Cricetulus griseus: one gene and its partners. The protein of the gene in region 1 interacts with the protein of each later gene in a biochemical or structural test. Links are inferred from orthologs where the notes say so. Each region holds a gene or a part of one and is shown in the gene's direction. Other genes may lie near its edges.

Region 1 (5,210 bases):
GATTTCTACTAATTGTTCTCAGAACACATGTCAGCATCTCCCCAAAATTCACATCAACTGGAACCTCAGAACGTGATCCTATTTGAAAATACATTCATGTGTTGTGTCCCTTAACCACGAGGAGACATTCTGAGAAACTGTCCCAGCATCATGGACTATTATCTCAGTGCCCTGTGTTTGCAGCTTCCAAATCACATCTACAGAACAGGATCAGGTATCTCCGGTTTCAGAGTAGGACATGCGTACACTTACAAGTTGAGATGGCAATGTAGGTTGGTTCCCAGGGTTGGGAAGAGGTACTTATTGCAAAGAATGGCCAGGCATGTTTGTTTGAGGCAATTATAGTCTTGCCCTGTGATTTAGTAGAAAAGGGGAAATAAGTTTCCTAATGGAGGAAGAGAATGCGTTAGAAACCGAGGACTGAGAACTACAGGATACGATCATACACAAGGCTCAGGTCGGAGGACGGCCTGAAACCACTTCAACACTTGCCTGAACAATATAGACCTGATTGCAAAGGAAGAAAAAAGGAAAACTGTTGACAATTTTTCATGACCAAAAGTGACGGTGAAGAGTGTTCACAATGGTACTGGGTGGAGGGAGAATAAAGCTTGGAGCTGTTTCTCTTTCTCACCCTTCTCCAGTCTATTCTTTTTGATAGCTACTGTGAGCCTTTCAAAACAAAATCCAATCTCCCCGCCCCTTCTCTTCCAGGCGTTGTCTCTCACAGCTCCCACTTAGCACCGCCCACCTAGCCCAACCGCTACCTCCTGGGGTTTACATCAGACCGGAGCCGCCCAGCTTGTCTCCCCTCCTAGAACAGTGAAAGAGACCCTCAAATCATAGACGGCACCTGTCACTCCTCTGCTCTGAAGTCTCCATGGCGTCCCTTCTGAGTCAGAGTAAACCTGCATGACTCAGAGCAAAGTCAGATTATACACACAGAGTTCATCTCCCTGTCACACGGAGTCTGCTCACTGGTGGGGCACTCCACTCCTAGAGATCTTTCTCCATCTGTCCACAGGGCTCCTGCCTCACTTCCTGAAGGTGGGAAATTTATCCCTTCTCTCAGTGAGTCTGCACCATCACCCTTCCTACTTCCCTTCTCTATTTTTCCTCTTAGCATTTATGAGCTTGTAACATGTTAAATACCCACACATAATCCTATTTGGCGTAGCACTCTATCTGGAGCTCCTGGTCCACTATGTCCTATGGTTTGCACACGCTGCTACAGTTAGAATACCATCCTGGGAATAGCCATCTGGTCTCCGATAAGAGAACTTCCCCATCACAAGGTGACTAAAACACTTGCCTAGTGAATAATGATAATGGATAAAAACAAACACGAGCGTGCAACTGTGCACCAAGTAACTTCAGAACCTTAACTATATTCCAGGAGGCCCTAGAAGAATCTATCTCTATTGCTAGGTTAGTAAGGGGATACGTTCCTAACAGTGACTTAAAAGTACTCCAAACATTGCTTTAGGTGCTAAAATAGTGGGACTGCAGGTGATGTTTTTAAAGTTAACACCTTTTTTCGTTATTTACTTGTTTACTTTGTTGTTGTTATTTTGATTTGTTTTCTGGTCTCACGATCCTCGTGCTCCTCCAGTCTCCCTAGTTGTGGGTGTCAGCGGGCCCGGACCAGGCCCTCAAACATTTCAATACTGAAGTTATATTATGTGCGCGTGTATGCTTTGCACACCTGTAAGCGTTTGTGCACGATCGAGCAATCATAAAACCTGGAGCAGCAGCACAACAACAGGAAATCGTTGCGCAACATCTGGAAAAGAGAAGCAAAGCAGAGGACCTGACGGCGGACTCGGCCCACGCTCCACCCAAATGCGGAGTCTGCGAGGGCGGGGAGATCCCGCTAAACTGAGCGGCCACGGCCCCGCCCACGGAAACGAGTCCTTCTCGGCAGACCAATCCGCAACCTTATGCAAATAGATCCTGGGCGTGGCTAGAGAGGCGGCCCCTGTCGGCGAAGCCACTCCGGAAGAAGGAGCGAGAACCGCGGGCTAGCACTGATTGGCTGGCCCTATTGGGGGCGGGGGCTGACGGTAGACCCGCCCCTGGAGGGTGGAGCCTGAGCTAGGCCTTCCAGCCTAGGGACGGGGAGGGGGCGTGGCGAGCGAGGCTCCGCAGGCCTCAGGGGCGGAGCCGGAAGTGGGGCGCTGAGATTCCGCACCTCCGCGTTCCGGGAGCCGGCCGGCGGTTCCCCCGGATCTGGTCCTGGTCCCCCAGAGTCACCGGTGGCCTGCGTCCCGGAGACCGGAGGCTTCAGCCTGGGCGGGGCGGCGCGGCGCGGGCCGGAAGGACGCCATCCCGGCCCTGGCCATGGAGGCTCCTGCGCCGTCCCTAACCGAGGAGGACCTCACTGAAGTGAAGAAGGACGTGAGTAGCTCGGCGGGCGAGCGGGGCGGGCGGAGGAAAGCGGAAACCCGAAACCCGGAGCCGAGCGACCGGGAGCTTGGTGTCGGAAGAAGGCTGGATCGGGGCCCGGGGCCGGCTTGGGTGTTTGTGTGCCCTCCGCTCCCCGCCGGGGGCTCCCCATCCTGCCGACCCCCGCCCGCCTCACCCCGCGGGAGCCGCTAGGCCAGCGCCGCCCGGGGTCCCCAGGCAGGAGCGGCCGGGTGAAGCTCGCCCAGCTGGAAGCGCAGCCCGGAATTCCCCGCCGTCAGACGCCCACGCATTTCAATGCAGGGGGGTGTGCGAGCGTCGAGCGAGGCTCGGCTGCCAGGCACACGTTTGAAAACAGTCAGCGGCTGCCTCGCACGCCTGTGCTGAGACCGGGCGGAACGGCACAGGCACCTTACTTAGAGTTTGTGACCCGAGGCACGATGCGCTCGCTTCCTTTCTTCTCTTACTCCAGTTACGAGTTTTGCCAGAAAGTCAGATAAGCGCCACTTAGATCATATACGTGGATTCACGTTAAAGACAGTAACTCGTTCTTTGCTTAGCACCGTAGGTAGTGCTGTTGGAAAACCGTCTTTGCGAACTTGAGAGCAAGTTGTTGAGGTCGTTTCTGCTTCAGATCCCTGTTTCTGCCGTACTTTATCCCTTGTAAGGTTTATTGCATTGCACCCATGATTAAAATTGGCGTAGTTGAGTGGGGTTCGTGCCCCACGTAGTTCCCTTGTTCGGTGTTGTTGGTAGGGCACATCCTGTCCAGAGAGCTTCTTCACATTCTACTTGGGACTAGGTCTTTCATAGCTACCATAGTCTTATTTAAGATGCCAGTAAAACCATGTACTAAAGTATGGCGGCTATGCTTCCAGTTCCGTTTCACACGGTTTTGAATTTTCTCACAATACCTGTAAAGAAGAGAATTGCTTTTCATTTTATAGCTGGCAGAGCAGGACAAGACCTGTCTGTGGACACACATGAGTACTGCAGACCTTTGTCACTGCCCAGTTGGTTCGTTATGACATTAACAGTTTAGCCCTGTATCAGATGTTCACAACTGTAGAGAAACTATGCATGAGCTTCAAGGTGTCTATAGAACGTATTTTTCCTCAGATATCCTATTATTAAAGCTGCTCATGACAAGCTTAAAAATTTGTCGACATAACTTGAACCTCCTTCTTTCTCAACCTCAGACCTCTATTCCAAGTGTTTTCTAGGAATCAAGTTTTAATATTATACAAGTTATTCTTACATTTTCAAAAATGGAGCTTTTCAATACCCCTGCCAGACTTCGTGCTGTTCCTCCTGTACTATCTGTCCTGATAAATAATGGGAAGTTGTGCACATGATACTGTTTTCAGGGTCTCCTTTCTGTGGCTTCTGTTGCCTGTGGTCAGCCATGGTCCAAAGATATTGGACGGGAATTTGACAAGTTACATGGTACAAATTGAGCACTGCTCTAAGTAGCATGATAATCTTGTACCACTCACTGCATCTGACCAGGGGCATGAGTCACACCTCATCCCTAGTCTATCACACTGTGAGCTTTTCCTGCCTGTTGGCAGCTGCCTTGACTATGAGATGAGTTTTTATGGCAGAGAGCTTGGGTATGAGATTTGTACCTTGAGTTTCAGACATCCCCTGAGTCTTGGGGACCATTGTCCAGCTGCTGATCCCCCGGGACACCTGTGTAAAGTGGGGCACAAATAATGTGTACCTCAAAGAAGTCGACCAAGTTTGACGAGCACATGTTTTAAAAGTACTCACGAAACCAGTCAGTCCTCTAAACAAGGTGAACCATGGAACAGAGAGAGCCGCCTGAGTGCGACCCTCATATTTAAGGTCTTGCTACATCACTGACCATACCCTAGTGTGCGTGCTCTGCGTTACCTGTGTCAGCACCCAAGAGGGCATGGCTGACATTTCCCCTATAATTCCCCTTTTAGTCTAAAAGAGGATTAAAACTTAACAGTGTAAATTATCTATTATAAACAATCATAAGGGTAAATTACATGAGGTTATAATAATCTACTAATGTCACATCTTAACTATAACTATCCCAACTAAACCTTAAAGTCATCCGAAAGAGATGTCCAAGCTTGAACACCTCCTTCCAAACCCAGCCTTAAATAATAGCAGACTAGGTGTAAACAGTGGGGAAAGGGGATGCAGTGTTCTCCATGCTACTTCCTGCTGAACTGGGATGACAGTGACAACCCCGTGGGGTCCTGTGGGAAGAAATGTTAGTGTAATGAAAGTCCTGAATGTGTTATATCCAGTCCATGTTTGGTGGGAGGTGCCTGATTGAAGGTCCAGGTTGAAGTCCTTGTCTCTATTGAAGTTCTTGTGTTGATTGAAGTCAGTACCCGAAGTTCTGGCCAGAGTGTCAGCTGAAATAAGTAAGATGGATCCAGTGCAATTGAGGAGGTGTGGCCCATTTTCTTTCTGGAGCATCCAGGGGTTGCTGTCAACAGGTCTTCATTGGCTGTGTGGGACTCAAAAATAAATGTTAGCAGAGAAATATTTGCTTGTATATGTATGCATACCGGGAAAGGCAACCATGGGAAAATAAGAATTATGAAAGGATGTACACCTTGAGAGAAAAAGGCCAAGAAAAGACAAATGACAGTCCCTGATCTTTCCTCTATTCTGTATTACATCAATTGACTTCTTGATATAGTACAGAAACTCTGAAGTTTAACAAAGTGCTTGGATTTAGAGGAGGAAAGCCAAATCCACCTCTAAAGCCAGCATTGGTTTAATTGAATAGGGACTAGGAAATAAAGAGAAACCCAGCGCCT
Region 2 (4,874 bases), on another chromosome or scaffold:
TTTTCACATATAAAAGGGGGGGGGGAGGGATGTCAGTCTAGGAAACCCGAAGAGTGTGGAGCCATTCTACAGCTAAACATAACAAAAGGCCAGGCCTTTAATCTTAGCAGTCAGCAGGCAGATATCTGAGTTTGAGGTCTGTCTACATAGTGAGTTCCAGGTCAGACAGGGCTATTTAGACCCTGTCTCAAAAAAACAAAAATATGTCAACAAACCTTGACTTATGTTTTAAGAATAGAATATTTAAAAAGTGAACTGTAGGAACCAATTTGAATGGCCCAGTCAACATTATCCTGTCTGTAGTTTTAAGTATCTCCTATTCTTGAGGGCAAATTATGAAATTATATCCCATCTGTGGAAACTGGAAACACTCCTATCTGCCATACACAGCAAATGAGGTTCTCAGAGGCTCGTTTGCTATTACTTTCAAGTTTGATATTCCAACTCCATGGAATACATGAAAATTATAGAATCAATTAGTCGGGTACTTATTATCAGTGACCCACAACACCGACTTGCATACAGACCCTGAGAATTTGATTCTATGCCAAGTCTTACACTTCTGAGTGATTAGCATCCCTACTGTCAGCCTGGTGGAGTGCGACAAGCCTGAATTAGATGGAGGAATAACAAGTTCTAGACCACCCTGGATTACATGAGACCCCGTCTCAAAACAAAACACCTAGGTTCCATGAAGCAGTTAACCCACTCAAATGGAAAGGCGGATACCTTCCCCTGTGCAACCCACCACTCAGAAATATGCCTTACTGGACCAAGAGCACACCAAGCTTGTCTTTGCAACCCTGTAGTGCATCCAGGAACAATTCCAACCCAGAACCACTGCACTGGCAAGCCTGAAACAGCAAGGCTGAGAAGCAGCAGGATCCGTGAGGTCGGATGGGAGACTCACATGTCCGGAAGAAACTTTTCACCCTGGAACAACGTCATATCTTTGGGTGGTTTGGGATTATAAGAGGTTTTGAAAAGATGTACGGAAAGGGTAATGAATAAACGGGCCGGTTAGCGCGGTTTCTTTCATGTTTATGGTGGCCTTTACCAGTGGGTTACGGTAGGGCAGGGCTCTGAAAAAGATAAAATGTAGACGGGGTGGGGACCATACGAAGAATATGACGTTTAGGGTTTGGAGAGATTTATGTTAAAATAAAGACACGCATGAAACCCTCAAAGAACACACACACACAAATCTCAAAATGAAAATCCCACACACGAAGGTCCTCTCGGTGCACCCGCTCGTGCCCAGCCCACTCGCCCGCACCAATCCCAGAAGAGACCTGTTCTCAGAGGCTCATTTGCTATTACCTTCAAGTCTGATAATTCCAATTCCGTGGACTACATGCAAATCATAGAATCAATCAGTCGAGTACCACTCATGACCCGTGACCCCTAACACATCGACTTGCGTACAGACCCTGAGAATTCGACCCTACGCCGAGCCTGACGCTTCCGAGTTATTAGCATCCCCAGTGTCAGGCCGGTGGAGAAGGGGGCGGGACTTTTCCTACGGAAGCTATCGGAAGTGACGTGTAGGTCTCGCGAGCAGAAGGGCGCGCGAGCTCGGCGGCCCGGAACCGGCCTTGGACCGGCGGCGAAGCCTGAGGCGGCTGGCGCTCCCGCCCCATGGAGCGGCCCCCGGGGCTGCGGCCGGCCGCGGGCGGCCCCTGGGAGATGCGGGAGCGGCTGGGCACCGGCGGCTTCGGGAACGTCTGTCTGTACCAGCACCGGGTGAGGCGGGGTGGGGGGCGGCGGCGGCGGCGCCGGGTCGGTCCGGGCGGCCCTGGGACAGCGGCTGTCAGTCAGCGGGAGGGGGCGTGGAGACCTTGGGGTGCTGGGGCCGGTGAACGAGCGCGGCCGCACTTAGGGCCCTGGTGAGCCTGGTGGCCGGCCGGGTGCCGGGTGAGAGAGAGGAAGCTGCTGCAGCTGTGTGTGGTGACGAGGAGTGTGTGTGTGTGTGTGTGTGTGTGTGTGTGTGTGTGTGTGTGTGTGACAATGTGTGTGTGTGTGACTGTGTCTCTGTGTGTATGTGTCTGTGTGTGTGTGACTGAGTGTGAGTCTGTGTGTGTGTGACTGAGTGTGAGTCTGTGTGTGTGTGACAATGTGTGTGTGTGTGACTGTGTGTGTGTGTGTATGTGTCTGTGTGTGAGTGTGTGTGTGTGTGACTGTGTCCGTGTGTGTGTGTGTGTGAGTGTGTGTGTATGACACTGTGTGACTGTGTGTGTGTGTGTGTGACACTGTGTGACTGTGTGTGTGTCTGTGTGTGTGTGTCCCTGTGTGTGACTGTGTGTGTGTCTCTGTGTCTGTGTGTGTGTCTGTGTGACACTGTGTGACTGTGTGTGTCTGTGTGTGTGTGTGTGTGTGTGACTGTGTATGTGTGTGTATGTGTGTGTGTCTCTGTGTCTGTGTGTGTGTGTGTGTGTGTGTGTGTGAGTGTGTCTGTGTGACACTGTGTGACTGTGTGTGTGTGTCTGTGTGTGTGAGTGACTGTGTGAGTGTGTGTGTGAGAGTGTGTGTGCGTGCGCGTGTCTGTGTGTGTGTGTGTGACTGTGTCTCTGTGTGTGTATGTGTGTATGTGTGTGTGTCTCTGTGTCTGTGTGTGTGTGTGTCTGTGTGTGACACTGTGTGACTGTGTGTGTGTCTGTGTGTGTATCCATGTGTTTCTGTGTGTGTGTGTGAGTGTGTGTGTGTGTGTGTGTGTGTGTGTGTGTGTGTGTGTGTGGTGACGAGGAGTATGTACAAATATCAAGGATCTCTGTGTGTGTCCCTGCCCGCACACTTGAGTAAACAAGGAAAGTCCTTCCTGGTGTCCAGAGTTGAACCTGTGGAAACATTGACAGACTCTGGAATTGGCACATTCCAGTCCAGGCAAGAAACAGTGTGAGGGTGAGGTGGTAAAATGATCCTTGCTTCAAAGAGAAGGAAATAGACTGAGGGGTTTGTTCTGCAAAAGACGGGTTTGTTATGTAAAAGACAACTAACATCAGGTTCGGGAAATTTGCTTGGATTTAATTGAAAATGTTTAACCATTGCAACAGCAGTTATTTGTACTTTTAAAGGATTTTAAAGCTAACCCTCACCTTCCTTATTTTAATGTTGTTGATGGTAGGAGTGGAACACAGGCTTTGCACATGCTAGGCAAATGGTCTAACCCTGGGTTACACATCCTTAGCCCCAGTTAATCAGGTTTGAGTCATGGGTCTTTTGATAATTCAATAAAAACTATGAATCTTCTCTTCAAAAAATTAATATTCATACAAACCAGTGTATTACCACTGAGGGTTTTGCTCTCCTGAAGAGTGTTAGCTGATTTCTGTATTGGGCACTAAAGGCGCCCCAATCAACAAGAACAGTATTTTCCACCCTGAAGGAAACTTAATTTCAGAGAGAGATTGACATAGACACAAAGTACATCTGGGCATAGTGGCATATACTTGTAATCCTAGCACCCAGGGTCCAGAGACAAGAGAATTTTGAGTTTGAGGCCAGCCCCTGAGTGGGCTTCATACTGTGGTCAAGGCCAGCCTGTCTCAGAAATAAACATGGGTTCAGTGTAATCCTAGACACTGAAAGTACTGGCAGTGTGAGTAGCCAAAGAACTTTCCCTAGGGAATAGGGTACAAGTTCTCAAAGGGTGTTTGAAAAACCTAGTTCCATATAATACATTAAAGAAAGAATTTGGAAGAAGCCAGGCATGGTGGGAACACTTGGGAGACTGAGGTCCATGGGCCACAGAGTGTTCCCTTTTTAAAGAAGTGTGTATGGGAAGGAGATGTAATTCAGTGATAAAGTACATACCCAAGGCCCTGGGTTCTATCCTCAGTACTATAGATCTACCTGCCACACACTGAAAATAATCTGGTCGGGTAGGACTTGGGATCTCAGGAAATGCGTCCACAAAACATATGCAGACAGAGAGGATGGATGTCAGTCGTGTGCAAATACTGCAATGGACTTGGGCAGCATCCTCTAGATTTCAGCGTCCTCTGGAGGCCCTAGAAGCTGTCATCTGCAGACTGAGGGCAACTTCACTGAGTTCAAATACTTTGGGTAAATGCCTGGAGAATCGAAATTCAAATTGGGAATCCAATTTAAAAGCTCCAAAAAGTAAAGAGATTAACTTAGTGTTTTCAGACTTCCTGCCTGCCTCAGTCTTACAATAGCAGGAACTATAGACTTATATTACCACACCCAACTTAGTCTCATTTTTAACAAACAGGCCTTTTTGTTGTTGTTAGGCAACTATAAACTTTCCAGAGAACATTCTCTGTGAGTCGATTGAGTTTTACAGAGGAGGTGAACTATAAATCAAGGCGTTTGAAGGATCTCTTGTGGTTGGGACCTATATAAGGTAGATAGCTTCCTGTCTCATTCATATCAGAATTTAGGGCTTACAAGTCACCATAGTAGCAAAACTCTATGTAGGTTGTAACTACTATCAGATAACCTGTTTGCTTATAACAAAAGCTAAAAGGAGTGAGCACTGTGGTAAAGCTATCTTAGTCTCTATTAGCCCCCAACCCCTGCATTAGAAACTGTCTTGCCTTGCCTTTCTCTTCGTTCCTAATCCAGGCTATCCTATCTAAGCTATCTTGCTCCCTGCTTCCCCCTTCAGCCCCTGCATACTGCACTCACCACTTTGACCACACCTTTGAGACATTCTTTTGAACACTTAATGCAGTTTGGCCTGTTTGGTTCTGACACTGTATTAGTGGTGTTGTCAGAATATGATGAAGCCTGGCTGTTACCTGAAATGTGCATAGGATACTCAGGCAGAAGTGGTGAAATTACTAATCACAAGCAAGAGGTCTTAGGGTTGTATTGTAGATATTTCAGTAGGAGTACAGTTCTTTGGATGTTTT
Region 3 (4,415 bases), on another chromosome or scaffold:
GCTACTAGATGGTTGTTGTGGTAGGAACTGAACTCTGATCTTCTAAAGAGCTACAAGTACTCTTAGCCATCTCTCCACTCAATGACTGGGAATTTTAAAATGACAGTAGGTACTAGAGTGTGGTTCAATAATAAGAGTATATACTTTGCATGTGTAAGGCCTGGAGTTCAATTTTTAGTACTTCAAAAAATAAGGACAGAAATAGAGATAGAAAGAAAATGGAGGATTTGGGCAGGGGAAGGGAGCTGAAGTGAATGACAAAGGGTATTAGTGTCGATGTGATGAGGCCAGTGTGTTTATGAGCTTGTACAAATCAAATGTATGTTTTTACCATACTAGGAGACTAGGAGTCTGAGTCCTATCCTTTTTGATGATTGCATTTCAAAGGAGTAGCACTCAGGTTTTTTGAGACAGCGTTAGGATCATAGGGAATACATGGACTTTGAGAGGGATACAGGAAGGAGTCATGGCTGGTAGTACTTACTAGCTTTCCAGCCTATATCAAGTGTTGGTCAGAATAGTCTGTTCCTTTAACAACTCTGAGAATTTGCAAGTAGGAACCAGGAAGGGGTCTGGGACATTCCAGGAATGTGATCTTAAGCTGTTTGAAGGCATGTTAATGTTTGGTCAACCTTAAAGTTTGGCTGAGCTGAGTATGGTTTAATACCCCCAGCATTCCTTCCACCATGTAGGTTTTGAAGATCAAAATTGGGTCATAGGCCTTGGTGGCAAGTACCTTTACCCGACAATTCTTCTTGCTGGTTCAGCTCTCAGTATTTATAAAAATTCAGCATCTTCTCTCATTTTTTGAAACTTTTCACCTGTTGTATATATGGACTAGGTTGTTTATTTTTCTTGCTGTCTTTGGGTCTGGTCTCCCTTTTCAGAGTTTCAAAGAGACTGAGAAAGGTTTACTACCAGCTGAAAGTCAAAGTTGGTGACTGGGAGAGGACAGATAGCCATTGGGCTAATGAGGCTCCAATGTACCTAGGTTTATAGGTGCTGAGGGGCAAGAGTAGCCCTTAGTACATCAGCTGCTTGTAGGCTGCCTCAGCCCTTGGGGATGCCAAAACTGGGCATCATGGGAGAAAGTAGTACTGATAGGAAATTCCCTTTTCTCTTGCAGCAGATGGCTGAGGACAAGGCCTCTGTGAAAGCCCAGGTGACATCATTGTTAGGGGAACTCCAGGAGAGCCAGAGTCGCTTGGAGGCTGCCACCAAAGAACGACAAACTTTAGAGGGAAGGTGAGTGGGGAGGGGAAGCTACTCCAGGAGGCCCTTTCCAGGGTTTTGAGTGAGGCTCCAGGAGTTCCTCTCCCCTAAGAGAGGAAGGACTGACAAGTCTTTTCTTAAATTCCCTGGAGCCTTCAGGTCTGCCTTGGGAGAGCCCTGGCCAGATATCCAGGAATCTAGTTCCACTTTTGTTTCCAGTATCTGACCCTTTACTTGCTGTCTTAGTTAGGGTTTCTATTTCTGTGAAGAGACACCATGACCACGGCAACTCTTATAAGGAAAACCTTTAATTGGGGTTTGCTTACATTCAGAGGTTCAGTCCATTATCATCATGGCAGGAAGCATGGCAGCATACAGAAAGACATGGTGCTGGAGAAGGAGCTGAGATTTCTACATCTGGATTGGCAGGCAGCAGGGAGAGATAGTGACACTGGGCCTGGCTTGAGCATCTGAAACCTCAAAGCCCACCCCCAGTGACACACTTCCATCAACAAGGCCACACCCACTCCGACAAAAATCTTTTCAAATAATGCTGCTCCTTATGAGCCTATGGGGGCTGTTTTCATTCAAACCATTACACTCGGGTTCAGTTTATTCTTTAGGAAGCATTGCAGGGCCCCCTTAAGGCCACACTCACGATCTCACTATCCAGACTGAAGTTTATCATGGAAAGGTATGCAGTGGGATCCACCAAGGCAGATAGTCCTAGGTAAAGAAGACTGGATACATTACACAGTCACTCCTATGAAAAGCACAGAGCCCCCATGAACTATTTTTCATTGGAGACTCTGAACCCCATGTTTCTATTGGGAGTCAGTTACATTGGCATCCTCTGTGAGGCATGCACTAATGTTTCTGACTCTTTGCAGAAAAGTGAGTGTTTGGAAGCTACAGTGTGACACAATCATGCTGTAAATCCCTTTGTCTCCATATATTGTTAATTGTAAGTGTTCACTACAAAGAGTCATTGGTCTGGTTTGATGTTTCTGGTTCCTATTACACTATTGATACTCGGCCCTCACTAGGACTCTTCCTGGATATCCTGCTGTTGCCCTGTGTTGTGGAGATTCTGCAGCTTTGGGTCTGCATGTCAGGTCCAGCAGATCATAAATAGGATGGATATTAGGGTTAGGTCAATTCATAACCCTGGATCTGGGCCTGGGCAGCTGTAGGGTTGGTCTGCCAACCAGTCCTCCCCTGTCCTCACCACCAGGGTGAGCTCTCCAGCATTGCTCCCGGCTAATTTACCTCTTGCAGCAATGAGCGAGGGGTGGCACCAGTTCTCCTGCTTTCACACCCTTAGGGTTGGTTCTCCCACACTGGCACCATTAGGGCCAGCTCTGTTGTGTTGCTCAGATGAGGTACAGGCGGTTGCTCTCCCAAGTGCTGCAGCTGGTGAGGGGTAAGGACAGCTCTCCTATTCTTATGACCGCAGGACCAGCTTCTCCACATGTCTCAGGTGTTGATGGGTGGGATGTGGGACTACCACAGATAAGTAATGGGGGCAGCTCTCTTTGGCTCATAGCATTGGGGCTGGGTCACCATCACCTCCAACCACTGAGCAGTTCTGCTGTGCTGCCTAGGCAAGAGGCAGGAACTGAATCCTGAATGCTGCAGCTAGTAAGGGGGAGGATCAGCTCTCTTGTCTGTTGCAGGTGGAGATGGGCGAGGGGTAAAGGGGGAACATCTCTTACCACCTACATTGCCACATGACAGGCAAGTAGTGGGGACAGCTTTCCTATGCTTACAACTTTGGGGCTGGCTCACCCACACCTCTGCCAACAATGTTGGCTCTATTGTGTTACCCAGGTAAGGTAAAGGGCCTGCTCTCCCAAGTGTTGCAGCTGGTTTTGGGGAAGAGCAGCTTTTCTACTATTATGACCTCAGGGCCAGTTGCAGGAGATGCTTCTTATTTTCCATCTTCTGGCTGCCATGGTCCCTTTACTGTCTTACCAGAATCAGCTCTTAGACATAGGCTAGTTAGGACCTGACCCCTTCCCCAGGCTGTCTTGCTCCAGCCCCCTCAGTGTGTTCTTTTTTGTTGCATGTCAGGATGCGAGCAGTTAGTGAGCAGGTTAGACAGCTGGAGAGTGAGCGGGAGGTGCTGCAGCAGCAGCACAGCGTGCAGGTGGACCAGCTGCGCATGCAGAACCAGAGTGTGGAGGCTGCCCTGCGAATGGAGCGCCAGGCTGCTTCAGAGGAGAAGTGAGTGGCTGTAAGGGTTGGTACCAAGAGATCCCAGAGCACCCATGGTGTTTTATGCCTTCTGGGGAGTTCTGGTAGGGACTCCCTGTGAATAAAAGAGCTGACTTTGCCTTGATAATGACAGAGTCAACTATTATATGTAAACAGAAGTATTTTCTATCCACATTCATAGTTTATTTATATGTCCTACACAGGTTCTTTTCACCACAGTTGACATATGCTCTAGGTGTAAGGAAAGCAAGGAGCCATGGTGGCCCTAAAGACTCACCTGGGCCCACAGTGCCTGCACAGGCTCTAAACATGCTATTGGCATCTGGTTCAGCATCCTTTTGAGTTTTCTTTAATTTAGAACAGTCTCCTTGCCTCTTTGTTTTGTGCTGAATGCAGTCAGATGTCATTTTATTGTAAACATCTCTCCTATTTATTTTCTTTTTGGTGCTAGCCCAAGGTTCTACTCCTGAGTTGTACCCTAGCCCTTGTTAGAAATATCCCAAGATGTAAGGAAAACATGAACTGTGTAGCAGCCAAATCAGTTTCAGTGTATCCTTGCAGTCAGCAAAGCCTGCCTCAGAGTTGATGGCCCCAGGAGCCTACATGTAATCCAGGAAGCCCACATTTCAGGTCTTTTATGGGACAAGAAGGAAGAGGGTGAAGCTGTACCAGGCAAGCTGTGGCTGTACTGGGACAAAGCAGTTTCTTCAGTGACAGCCCCTTTTGCACAGGCGGAAGCTGGCTCAGTTGCAAGCAGCGTATCATCAGCTCTTCCAAGACTATGACAGCCACATCAAGAGCAGCAAGGTGAGTGAAGAACACAAGCTAGTAAGTATAGCTGCCCTGGGCTGTCCAGGGAAAGGCTTTTACCTTCTTCCCTCCCTCCTCCCCTGTCCCATAAACCTGGAGGGGAGTAATGTGAGTAATGTGAGTAATGTGAATGAGATCTGGCACATCTAACTTTTGGAAGGGACTCTCAAATTGCC
Region 4 (4,415 bases), on another chromosome or scaffold:
GGCCCGCCAGAGCCCGTGCCACCCAAGAAGGTGCCGTGTAGGATGGCTACTAGGGGCAAAAGCTCCCTACATTCATCTACCTTCAGGAGGTTCAAGAGCACTTTAGGGTAAAGGGCAGAAGCCAAAGAAGGGCCATTGTACAAGGAGTGTTCTCTTAGACCCCAACCTGCCCTTTCCCTGACATATCCAGGTGACTCAGGAAGAAAGTTTGAGGTAACAGAGGGGCAGTTGCTTGGGGAAGATGAGCTTGGCAGGGTGGCACTAGGAGGGGCTATCAGTGCACCTCTGCTATCCCTCAGAATCTGTGGAACAAAGATGAGGTTGACCCCTCAAATTTCTCCAGAATGAGTCCCTTGTGTCCTTGCCCAAAGCCCTGTTCTGGCACTCACAGGCCTGGGTCCTATTGTAGGCTGACTGCTCCAGACCCAGTAGAGAACAGAAGGTGGGCACTTCCTGAGCTGCTCTCCCCTGACTGTGACCACAGACTACAGAGGACATGTCAGACTATGAAAATGATGACGAGTGCTGGAGTGCCCTGGAGAGCTTCCGGGTGAAGCTCATCTCTGTTATTGACCCCTCACGAATCACACCCTATCTGCGCCAGTGCAAAGTCCTGAACCCCGATGATGAGGAGCAGGTGCTCAGTGACCCCAACCTGGTCATTCGCAAGCGGAAAGTGGGTGAGGGCTGCTCCCACACCAGCAGGGCTGTCCCTAGTCCCTCATGGTCCCCACAGACACCTGGCCAGAGGCTGCTACATGCTGTGCCGCCCTGGCCTTGTCCCCACCCAGCTCCATCTACACCTAGGATGTATGCATGAGAGCCTTCTCTCCTCTCATCATGCCTACCTGCTGCTACCCAGAGGAGGGAAGGGGAGTTCCTACCATTGTTCAGGCTGTGAGAGAGCCACAAGAGTGAAGGCAGCACCTTACTCTGCCTTGACTGAGACCTGCAGGGTGCCTTATGCAATGCCCCAGATCCCTCTGCTAGGAAGGGCCCAGAAACGAGGGCTGGGGGTCCACAGCTTGGCACCTCTACTCAGAGCAGTCATCCACTGTCCCACCTGGGCCCCAGAGCTTCTACATACCCAGACCTTGGCCTCAACTCTGTCTCTTCCATCTGTAGGTGTGCTACTGGACATCCTGCAGCGGACAGGCCACAAGGGCTATGTAGCCTTCCTTGAGAGTCTGGAACTCTATTACCCTCAATTATACAGGAAAGTCACGGGCAAGGAGCCAGCACGAGTCTTCTCCATGATCATTGGTGAGAGGCACAGAGTGGGTGGGTGCTGTGAGTGCAGTCAGGTGCCACCAGGTCCTGGCTTCTGTGATTACATCAGAATGAATGAGTCTAATACAAGCCCTGTGGTACATATCAGAGTAGTGGTACCAGTGACTACTCTCAGGTGCTCAGGGTCAGGGCTCCCTTCTCTGCCTTTCCTACTCCCATCCTAAGAACATCCACTAAGAAGAGGTGACCCCTCTATAAAGTATTAATTCCATGGGGCCCAGTTACCACCTAAGGACAGAATCCCACAGTTTCTAGAGGGGACAGAGGTGAACTGATGGAATAGCCACATCCCTATCAGTCCACATCCCTATCATTCATCTCATAAAGATCTTTATAAAGGTAGACAGAGGGCCAGGCATGCTGGCACACACCTTTAATCCCAGGGAGAAGCAGGCAGATCTCTGAGTTAGAGGCCACCCTGGACTACATAGTGAGACCTTTTCTCAGGGAAAAGAGAGAGAAAAAGAGAGAGAGAGAGAGAGAGAGAGAGAGAGGGCCAGCTGGAGTCCTGGCATGTGATAAGTTAGAATCTCAGTCAGTTCATATGTGAGGGGCAGCAAGGCAGACTGGGCCTGGTGAACAGTCCCCAGGGAGCCTTCCCACCAGCTTTCTCTCTGTGGAAGACCAGTAGTGCTCCCTCTGCCCCTCAAACTGCTGGTCTTCAAGCACATACTTCTGGACAAGGACAAGCACAGGGTCTGCAGGTGACAGCCACAGGCTCCATCTGACACTGCATGGTCCCCAGATGCATCAGGGGAGTCAGGCCTGACGCAGCTGCTGATGACAGAGGTCATGAAGCTGCAGAAGAAGGTTCAGGACCTGACGGCACTTCTGAGCTCCAAGGACGACTTCATCAAGGAGCTTCGGGTAAAGGACAGCCTCCTGCGCAAGCACCAGGAGCGTGTGCAGCGGCTCAAGGAAGAGTGTGAGCTGAGCAGCCGAGAGCTGAAGCGCTGCAAGGATGAGAACTATGACCTGGCCATGCGCCTAGCACATCTGAGTGAAGAGAAGGGCTCAGCGCTCATGCGGAACCGGGACCTGCAGCTCGAGGTGATCGCTTGTCCCACCAGCAGGGGGGTGGGGGTGGGGGTGTCTGGAGGAGGCTGCTGCTGACTGGACCACCCACAGGTGGACCGGCTCAGGCACAGCCTCATGAAGGCAGAGGATGATTGCAAGGTGGAGCGAAAACACACCCTGAAGCTCAGGCATGCTATGGAGCAGCGGCCCAGCCAGGAGCTGATGTGGGAGCTGCAGCAGGAAAAGGACTTGCTGCAGGCCCGGGTGCAGGAGCTGGAGGTCTCTGTACAGGTAGGGCTACCAGCAGTGCACACCAGGGGCACACCAGATGGTACAACTGCAATGGCCAGGCTTGTTGCCCTTTGCCACCTCCAGGAGGGCAAGCTAGACAGGAACAGCCCCTACATTCAAGTGCTGCAGGAGGACTGGCGCCAGGCACTGCAGGAGCACCAAGAGCAGGCCAACACCATCTTCTCCCTACGCAAGGACCTCCGCCAAGCTGAGGCCCTCCGGACCCGGGTGAGAGGGCAGGGCAGGCAAGCAGTACCCACTGGGTATCTGGAAGGCAGGGTCTGGAATGTAACTCACTGTCTCCCCTTCACCAATTCCTGGTGCACAGTGGTGTCATGTCCACAGCTAGGGTCATCCTTTCAGTTTACCGTGTGATCGGTGGTGGCTGAGGCCATGGTCTCAGACCAGGCAAGCCTGCTGTGGCCTGGGACTGCAGTGCCCTTCCCATCATCCCGGCTAGCCCGATCTTGAGTGCTCTGAAGGTGTTGCCTGAGTCCAGCCCAGGGCCAGGTGAGCAGTGGAGAGTGGGTGAGGCTGAGTGGTGCTTCCTGTAGTGCGTGGAGGAAAGGGAGATGTTCGAGCTGCAGTGCCTGGCCTTGCGTAAGGATGCCAAGATGTACAAGGACCGGATCGAGGCTATCCTGCAGCAGATGGAGGAAGTCTCCATTGAGCGGGACCAGGTAGGTGTTGCATTTGTGTTCAGAAGATGAGAATGAGAGGAGTGTTTGGGTGCCGGTGTAGAGGCTTTTGAAGCTGTGGTCAACTCATTACTTTATCTATCTATCTATCTATCTATCTATCTATCTATCTATCTATCTATCTATCTACCTACCTACCTATCTATTTATGCCTGAGGTAACTTGGCAATGTTGAAAGATAGAACCTGGAGCCTCTTGTACAAAGACAGGAACATCTGCCTCTCTCACAGGAAGGGCCAGTGTAGCAGGGGAGTCCCAGTGGCGCCTGTGCTGGTTAGGGGAAGGTCAGGGTTGGAAACTTCAATAGAGGAGAGGAAGTTGCTAGCTACACAGGTGGGAGGTGGAGGCCACAGTATTGGGTAGAAGAGCTGGTGGTAACCCCCTGGAATAGGCAGCAGTAGTAGTAGTGGTAGCTCATACCTGTACTCCCAGCATTTGGAGGTTGAAACAAAATAACTACTGTGAATTCAAGGCCAGCCTGGATTACACAGTGAGTTCCAAGCCAGTTTGGGCTACAATGGTAGACCCGGTCTCAAAAAACCAAAAACAACAAAAAGTAGTAGCAACTGAGCCAACTTTGGTGGCACATGCCTGTAATTCCAGGCTTTGGAGGTAGAGTCAGGAGGATCAAAAATTCAAGGCCATCCTCAGATACATAGTAAATTTTAGGCCAGTTTGGGAAATGAATGAAACTGTCTCCCAGGAAACAAAAGAAGAAGCATGGTATTCATTTTAAGAACAGCCATCAATCATGTTCTTTGTTTGTTTTTTGTTTTTTTGAGACAGTGTTTCTCTGTGTCATCTTGGCTGTCCTGGAACTCACTTTGTAGACCAGGCTGGCCTCCAACTCACAGAGATCCGCCTGCCTCTGCCTCCCCAGTGGTGGGATTAAAGGCGTGTGCCACCACCGCCCAGTGATCATATTCTTGATGTCAAGATGCATCCAGAACTTGAAAACATGCCACATGGGTGGGACAGAGACACATACTGACTAGGGATGTTTGACTTCTTGGTTGGACTTCCCTAGGAACTATCTTGAGTGTTGGCCATGGTCATTTCAGCTGCTTCTTTTTGGAGTTTTTCTTTTTAAATTAATTTTATTTATTTTTGATTGTTCTG
Region 5 (4,415 bases), on another chromosome or scaffold:
ACTAGAATTCTTAGGGTGAGAAATCTGAAAATGATTATTTGTTCTCCATTATATTGTTTTTTAACCCTTTACTCTTAAGTTTCCAAATCAGAATGAGTGTGTGTGTGTGTGTGTGTGTGTGTGTGTGTGTGTGTGTGTGTTTCAAAACAGGGTGTGTGTGTATATATATATATATATATATATATATATATATATATATATATATATATTTTCAATGTTCTGGTACTTGATAGCCAAGACTTGCCTCAAATTCACCAGAATCCTATTTCAGCTTCCTGAGTACTAGGATTGTGTGTGTGCAGCCAGGGCTAGTTGGTCTTCTGTGTGCCACCACTGCCCGGCTGGATTCAAGTTGTTGAGGGCAAGTATTTTCTTAGTCAGATCCAGAGATGGTACCTTGAATCTCTTGTAGCCAAGCAGAGAAGGGTATAACCCTTAAGTTGGCCCTTGTTTGAGGCATTTAGGTTTTATAAATAGTACAAAAACTGGTGGGTTTTTCCCACTGAGAACCTGTGTCTAGTTGTCTAAAAACTATCGATTCTGCTGACAAGGATTAGAGTAGTGCTTTAAATGCCATTGGTAGGCCTTGAGTCTAGCCTTTTCTCTCTTCCAGAGAGGAACAAGCGAGGGAACTCTATAGAAGACTGAGGGAGAGGCCTAGAGGTAGGTGGTTTTGGCCTTGGCCCTATTTTGTCTTGTCTTTGAGATAACACTGCCCCTCCCTTCCCCCTACCCCCTTACCCTCCCCACCCCCCAGAGGCCAGGAGGAAGAGCTATGCCACTGTTCTCTGCAGACCAGAGGACAGACGGTGACAGTCAGGAAATGGTTCGGCTGCTACTTCAGGCAATCCAAAGCTTTGAGAAGAAAGTGCGCGTAATTTATACACAGCTCAGGTAGGTGCTCTGCTCCTGCTCCAGGACAAGATGTGGGATTATAGCAAAACTGAGGGTCAGATGGGTGCTCTTGCTCTGAATTGCCTATACAGTGAAGAAACAATCTGTGGTTGCTGATAGGATCCAGAATAGTGCCCACCCAGAGCTCACGGGTGTGTGGCTCATTTGTCCTTTACAGTAAAACCGTGGTCTGTAAGCAGAAGGCACTGGAGTTGCTGCCCCAGGTAGAAGACGTGGTGAGCCGTATGAATGAGGATGAGAAGACTGTGGTCCGCCTTCAGGAGAAGCGGCAGAAGGAGCTCTGGAACCTCCTGAAGATTGCCTGTGTGAGTGGACCTTTGCTCCAGCCTCTCAGGTCCCCATGTTGGTGTTGTGTGTGTTGTCCCTTCCATCTATCTCCCCTCCCTGACCCATGCTCCTCAGCGCTGCTCGACTGGCACTTATTTGTGACATGGAGTGGGCAGGAAGATTCCTGAAGGGAAAGTTTATGTGAGGTGTTACTTACCCATGTGACTACTATAATTACCACAAGTAGAGGGGCTCCAAACAGCAGACATTGTTCTTTCAGAGCTAAGAATCCAGCTGGCACCCTTAATCCCAGCACTGGGGAGGCAGAGGCAGGCGGGTCTCTAAGTTCAAGGACAGCCAGGGCTACACAGAGAAACCCTGTCTCAAAAAAAAAAAAAAAAAAAAAAACAGAGAGCAGAGAGACACCCCCACCCTCCCAGCTTTAGTGGCTCAAGCCTTGTCATCTGTATCTGTGTCTTCAGGTGACATCAGTGTTTCTCATCTGAAGGACTCTTACAAGAACGCATTTAGAGTTTAGGGGTGAAGCTCAGCAGAGCCATGTTTGCCTCATGCATAAGGCCCCAGGTTCAGTCCCTAGCAACATGCATGCATACAGTCATGCAGGCATGCACACACAGATACAGGGGCCCAGTCTTACTTTTTACATGCAGATATCTGGCTCTCCCAGCACCATTTGTTGAAGAGACTGCCTTCCTCCCATGACTATTTTTGGCGTCTTTGTCAAATCAGATTTCTGTGCCTGGGTGGATTTCTGCCTGGGTGCTCTGTCTGCCCTATTGGTCCGTGGGTCTATTTTTTTTTTTTTTTTAAGATTTTATTTATTATGTGTGCAGTGTTCTGCCCGCATGTATCCTTGCAGGCCATGTGGTTGCTGGGAATTGAACTCAGGACCTCTGGAAGGGCAGCCAGTGCTCTTAACCTCTGAGCCATCTCTCCAGCCCGCCGTGGGTCTATTTTTGTGCCATTCTGCTAGTGTTACTGTGCTGCTTCACCTGTATAACTTGAAATTAAGGTGGTGGTAGCTCCAGCATTGGTTATTTTGCTTAGGATTTTTCCTGCTAATTAGAGTTCTTTGTATATGAAGTTTGAGGTTTTTTTTTTTTTTTTTTTTTTTTTTCTATTTCTCTTCTTGGAAGTTTGACGGGGGATTGCATTTAATATGTAGTTGATTTTGGTAGTGTAGCTATTTTCAAAATTGTCTACCAAACTGTGAGCATGGAGGGGTCTTTCCTTTTTTTTTTAAGTTTCTTCAATTTATTTAAGATATTTCATTTCCTGGATTATTCCAAGATATGAGCTTGCTTGTTCTCTCTCTGTCTCTGTCTCTGTCTCTCTCTGTCTGTCTCTGTCTCTGTCTCTGTCTCTCTCTCTCTCTCTCTCTCTCACACACACACACACACACACACACACTTGTGAACATGTACACACTATCATAACACAGCTATGGTATACTACTCAGGGAAAAAAAGTATAACAAAACAAAGAAAAAGAAGGGAAAGAGCCGAGTAATAGCGCACCTTAGAACACAGGGACCTGTTGTTGAAAAGAGACCAAGGAGAAAGAGAAGCTGGCCAAAGAAAAGTTCAGTCATTAGTAGCTTCAAGAGCAAAGAGAGAACCTAGCGTGGAGGTGCACACCTGTGATCCCAGAACCTGAGAGTGTGGAGTAGGAAGTTCAAGGCTAGTTTGACAAGATAGTACGACCCCACCTCAGATAACAAAACAACCCAAAAGGGCAAAGAAGAGGAGGTGGCTTATTTTGGAAGCAAGATACAAAATAGTGCTTCATAAAAAGCCTTTTTTAAATGTTTATTTCATGTTCCTCAGTGTTTTATGTATGTTTTGTATGTTTGTTTGAGGGTGTCAGAAGCCCTGGAATTGGAGTCAGACAGTTGTGAGCTACTGTGAAGATGCTGGGAGTTGAACCCGGGGCCTTTGGAAGAGCAGCTTCTGAGCCCTCTCTCCAGTCTCCTTGTAAAGGTTTTTGACTGGAGTGTCTCTATAGGCCAAGGGAGGAGATGGTGTCCTGGGAGATTCATAGCAGCAGGGCATTGTCACTCCTGAGAACTGAAGGAGTCAGAATCAGGAGCGTCCCTGGCAGATTTGCCTGGGGATGGGAGCTGGAGGATATAGCCTCCTGTAAGAAGGTAGGGAAAGGGGGAAATCTGAGATAACACAATGATGCCCTGCTCTGCCACCTGCATTCATGGAGTGTCCAGCAGTGGTGTGAAAGTGGGGGTACGTGGTGAACTGAGGATGGCATCCACTATAATCTAGTGAGAATTGCAGATGAGGACTTGAAAGAGAACACTAGACTGAGTAAAGAAGTGTAAAGCACATGTGCACACCAACTAAGGAGAGGCCAGAGGCTCAACTGGAATTTGCTCTGTAGACCAGGCTGGCCTCGAGCTCAGATCCTCGTGCCTGTGCCTTCCAAGTGCCGGGATTAAAGGCATGTGCCACCACTGCCCAGATCCTTCCTGTTCTTTTAGATTTATTTTCTGCAAGAGCCTGAGTAATCCCTGAGCCCTCTCCCCAGCCCACTGACTCCATAATTCTGTTGATGATCTTTTGTCATTCAGAGCAAAGTCAGAGGTCCAGTCAGTGGAAGCCCAGATAGCATGAATGTGTCTCGGCTTAGTCACCCTGGTCAGCTAATGTCCCAGCCGTCCAGTGCCTGTGACAGCTTACCTGACTCAGCCAAGAAAAGGTAAGCCATGCTTGACAGTGCCAAGTGTAATGTTCAAGGGGGCTGGGGGACTGGGAGTGGATGAGCATACTTATCACCTATCACTTCGCCTGAGGATCTTGTGAGTGCTTCTTTTTGTGTATGCCAGGTCCTGTGGACACAAGCATCAGCTTGTTTGTTTAATTCTGTTCCTTGCCACTTGCTAACTCGTTTCCCTGTCCAAGAGTTGGATTACAAATTGTTTAATGAGAATATTGAAATTGTTAGTCATGCTGTCCATCCATGCCAATTGTTCTTTAAAACCCACTTCAGGTCTGCCATCTTTGTCACAGCCGAGTCCCTAGCCTTCTCCCTCCCAGACACCTCCATCTAGAGTGACTGGGCGGCTGTTCCCACCCAGTGCCTTCCTTCACCCTTTATTCAGCCCTTCCTTTTTTCTTTCCTTTTTTAAAAAAAATTTTAATTTTCTCTTTTATTTCTGTGTATGGGAGGGTATACCAAGGCACACTGTCAGGGTCCGAGGG

Evidence for each region.
Region 2: the proteins of Bcl10 (region 1) and Chuk form a complex in vitro, tested with the Homo sapiens proteins (2 studies listed by BioGRID, with this or other methods). The link is inferred for Cricetulus griseus from reciprocal best matches to the Homo sapiens genes BCL10 and CHUK.
Region 3: the proteins of Bcl10 (region 1) and Ikbkg form a complex in vitro, tested with the Homo sapiens proteins (3 studies listed by BioGRID). The link is inferred for Cricetulus griseus from reciprocal best matches to the Homo sapiens genes BCL10 and IKBKG.
Region 4: the proteins of Bcl10 (region 1) and Card9 form a complex in vitro, tested with the Homo sapiens proteins (2 studies listed by BioGRID). The link is inferred for Cricetulus griseus from reciprocal best matches to the Homo sapiens genes BCL10 and CARD9.
Region 5: the proteins of Bcl10 (region 1) and Ikbkb form a complex in vitro, tested with the Homo sapiens proteins (2 studies listed by BioGRID, with this or other methods). The link is inferred for Cricetulus griseus from reciprocal best matches to the Homo sapiens genes BCL10 and IKBKB.

What each region holds. Positions count from the first base shown.
Region 1 is NW_023276806.1:13,250,922-13,256,131, reverse strand, and holds the start of Bcl10 (B-cell lymphoma/leukemia 10), read left to right. Parts: upstream 1-2,159; 5' UTR 2,160-2,340; coding exon 2,341-2,397; intron 2,398-5,210. UniProt on the Homo sapiens protein: Plays a key role in both adaptive and innate immune signaling by bridging CARD domain-containing proteins to immune activation.
Region 2 is NC_048596.1:17,443,603-17,448,476, forward strand, and holds the start of Chuk (inhibitor of nuclear factor kappa-B kinase subunit alpha), read left to right. Parts: upstream 1-1,638; coding exon 1,639-1,743; intron 1,744-4,874.
Region 3 is NC_048604.1:1,279,298-1,283,712, reverse strand, and holds part of Ikbkg (NF-kappa-B essential modulator), read left to right. Parts: intron 1-1,126; coding exon 1,127-1,245; intron 1,246-3,285; coding exon 3,286-3,438; intron 3,439-4,160; coding exon 4,161-4,236; intron 4,237-4,415. UniProt on the Homo sapiens protein: Regulatory subunit of the IKK core complex which phosphorylates inhibitors of NF-kappa-B thus leading to the dissociation of the inhibitor/NF-kappa-B complex and ultimately the degradation of the inhibitor.
Region 4 is NC_048599.1:137,744,044-137,748,458, reverse strand, and holds part of Card9 (caspase recruitment domain-containing protein 9), read left to right. Parts: 5' UTR 1-496; coding exon 497-680; intron 681-1,125; coding exon 1,126-1,263; intron 1,264-1,459; exon of another isoform or gene 1,460-2,035; coding exon 2,036-2,340; intron 2,341-2,418; coding exon 2,419-2,598; coding exon of another isoform or gene 2,599-2,682; coding exon 2,683-2,826; intron 2,827-3,152; coding exon 3,153-3,278; intron 3,279-4,415. UniProt on the Homo sapiens protein: Adapter protein that plays a key role in innate immune response against fungi by forming signaling complexes downstream of C-type lectin receptors.
Region 5 is NW_023276807.1:61,028,257-61,032,671, forward strand, and holds part of Ikbkb (inhibitor of nuclear factor kappa-B kinase subunit beta), read left to right. Parts: intron 1-613; coding exon 614-663; intron 664-794; coding exon 795-894; intron 895-1,072; coding exon 1,073-1,220; intron 1,221-3,784; coding exon 3,785-3,912; intron 3,913-4,415.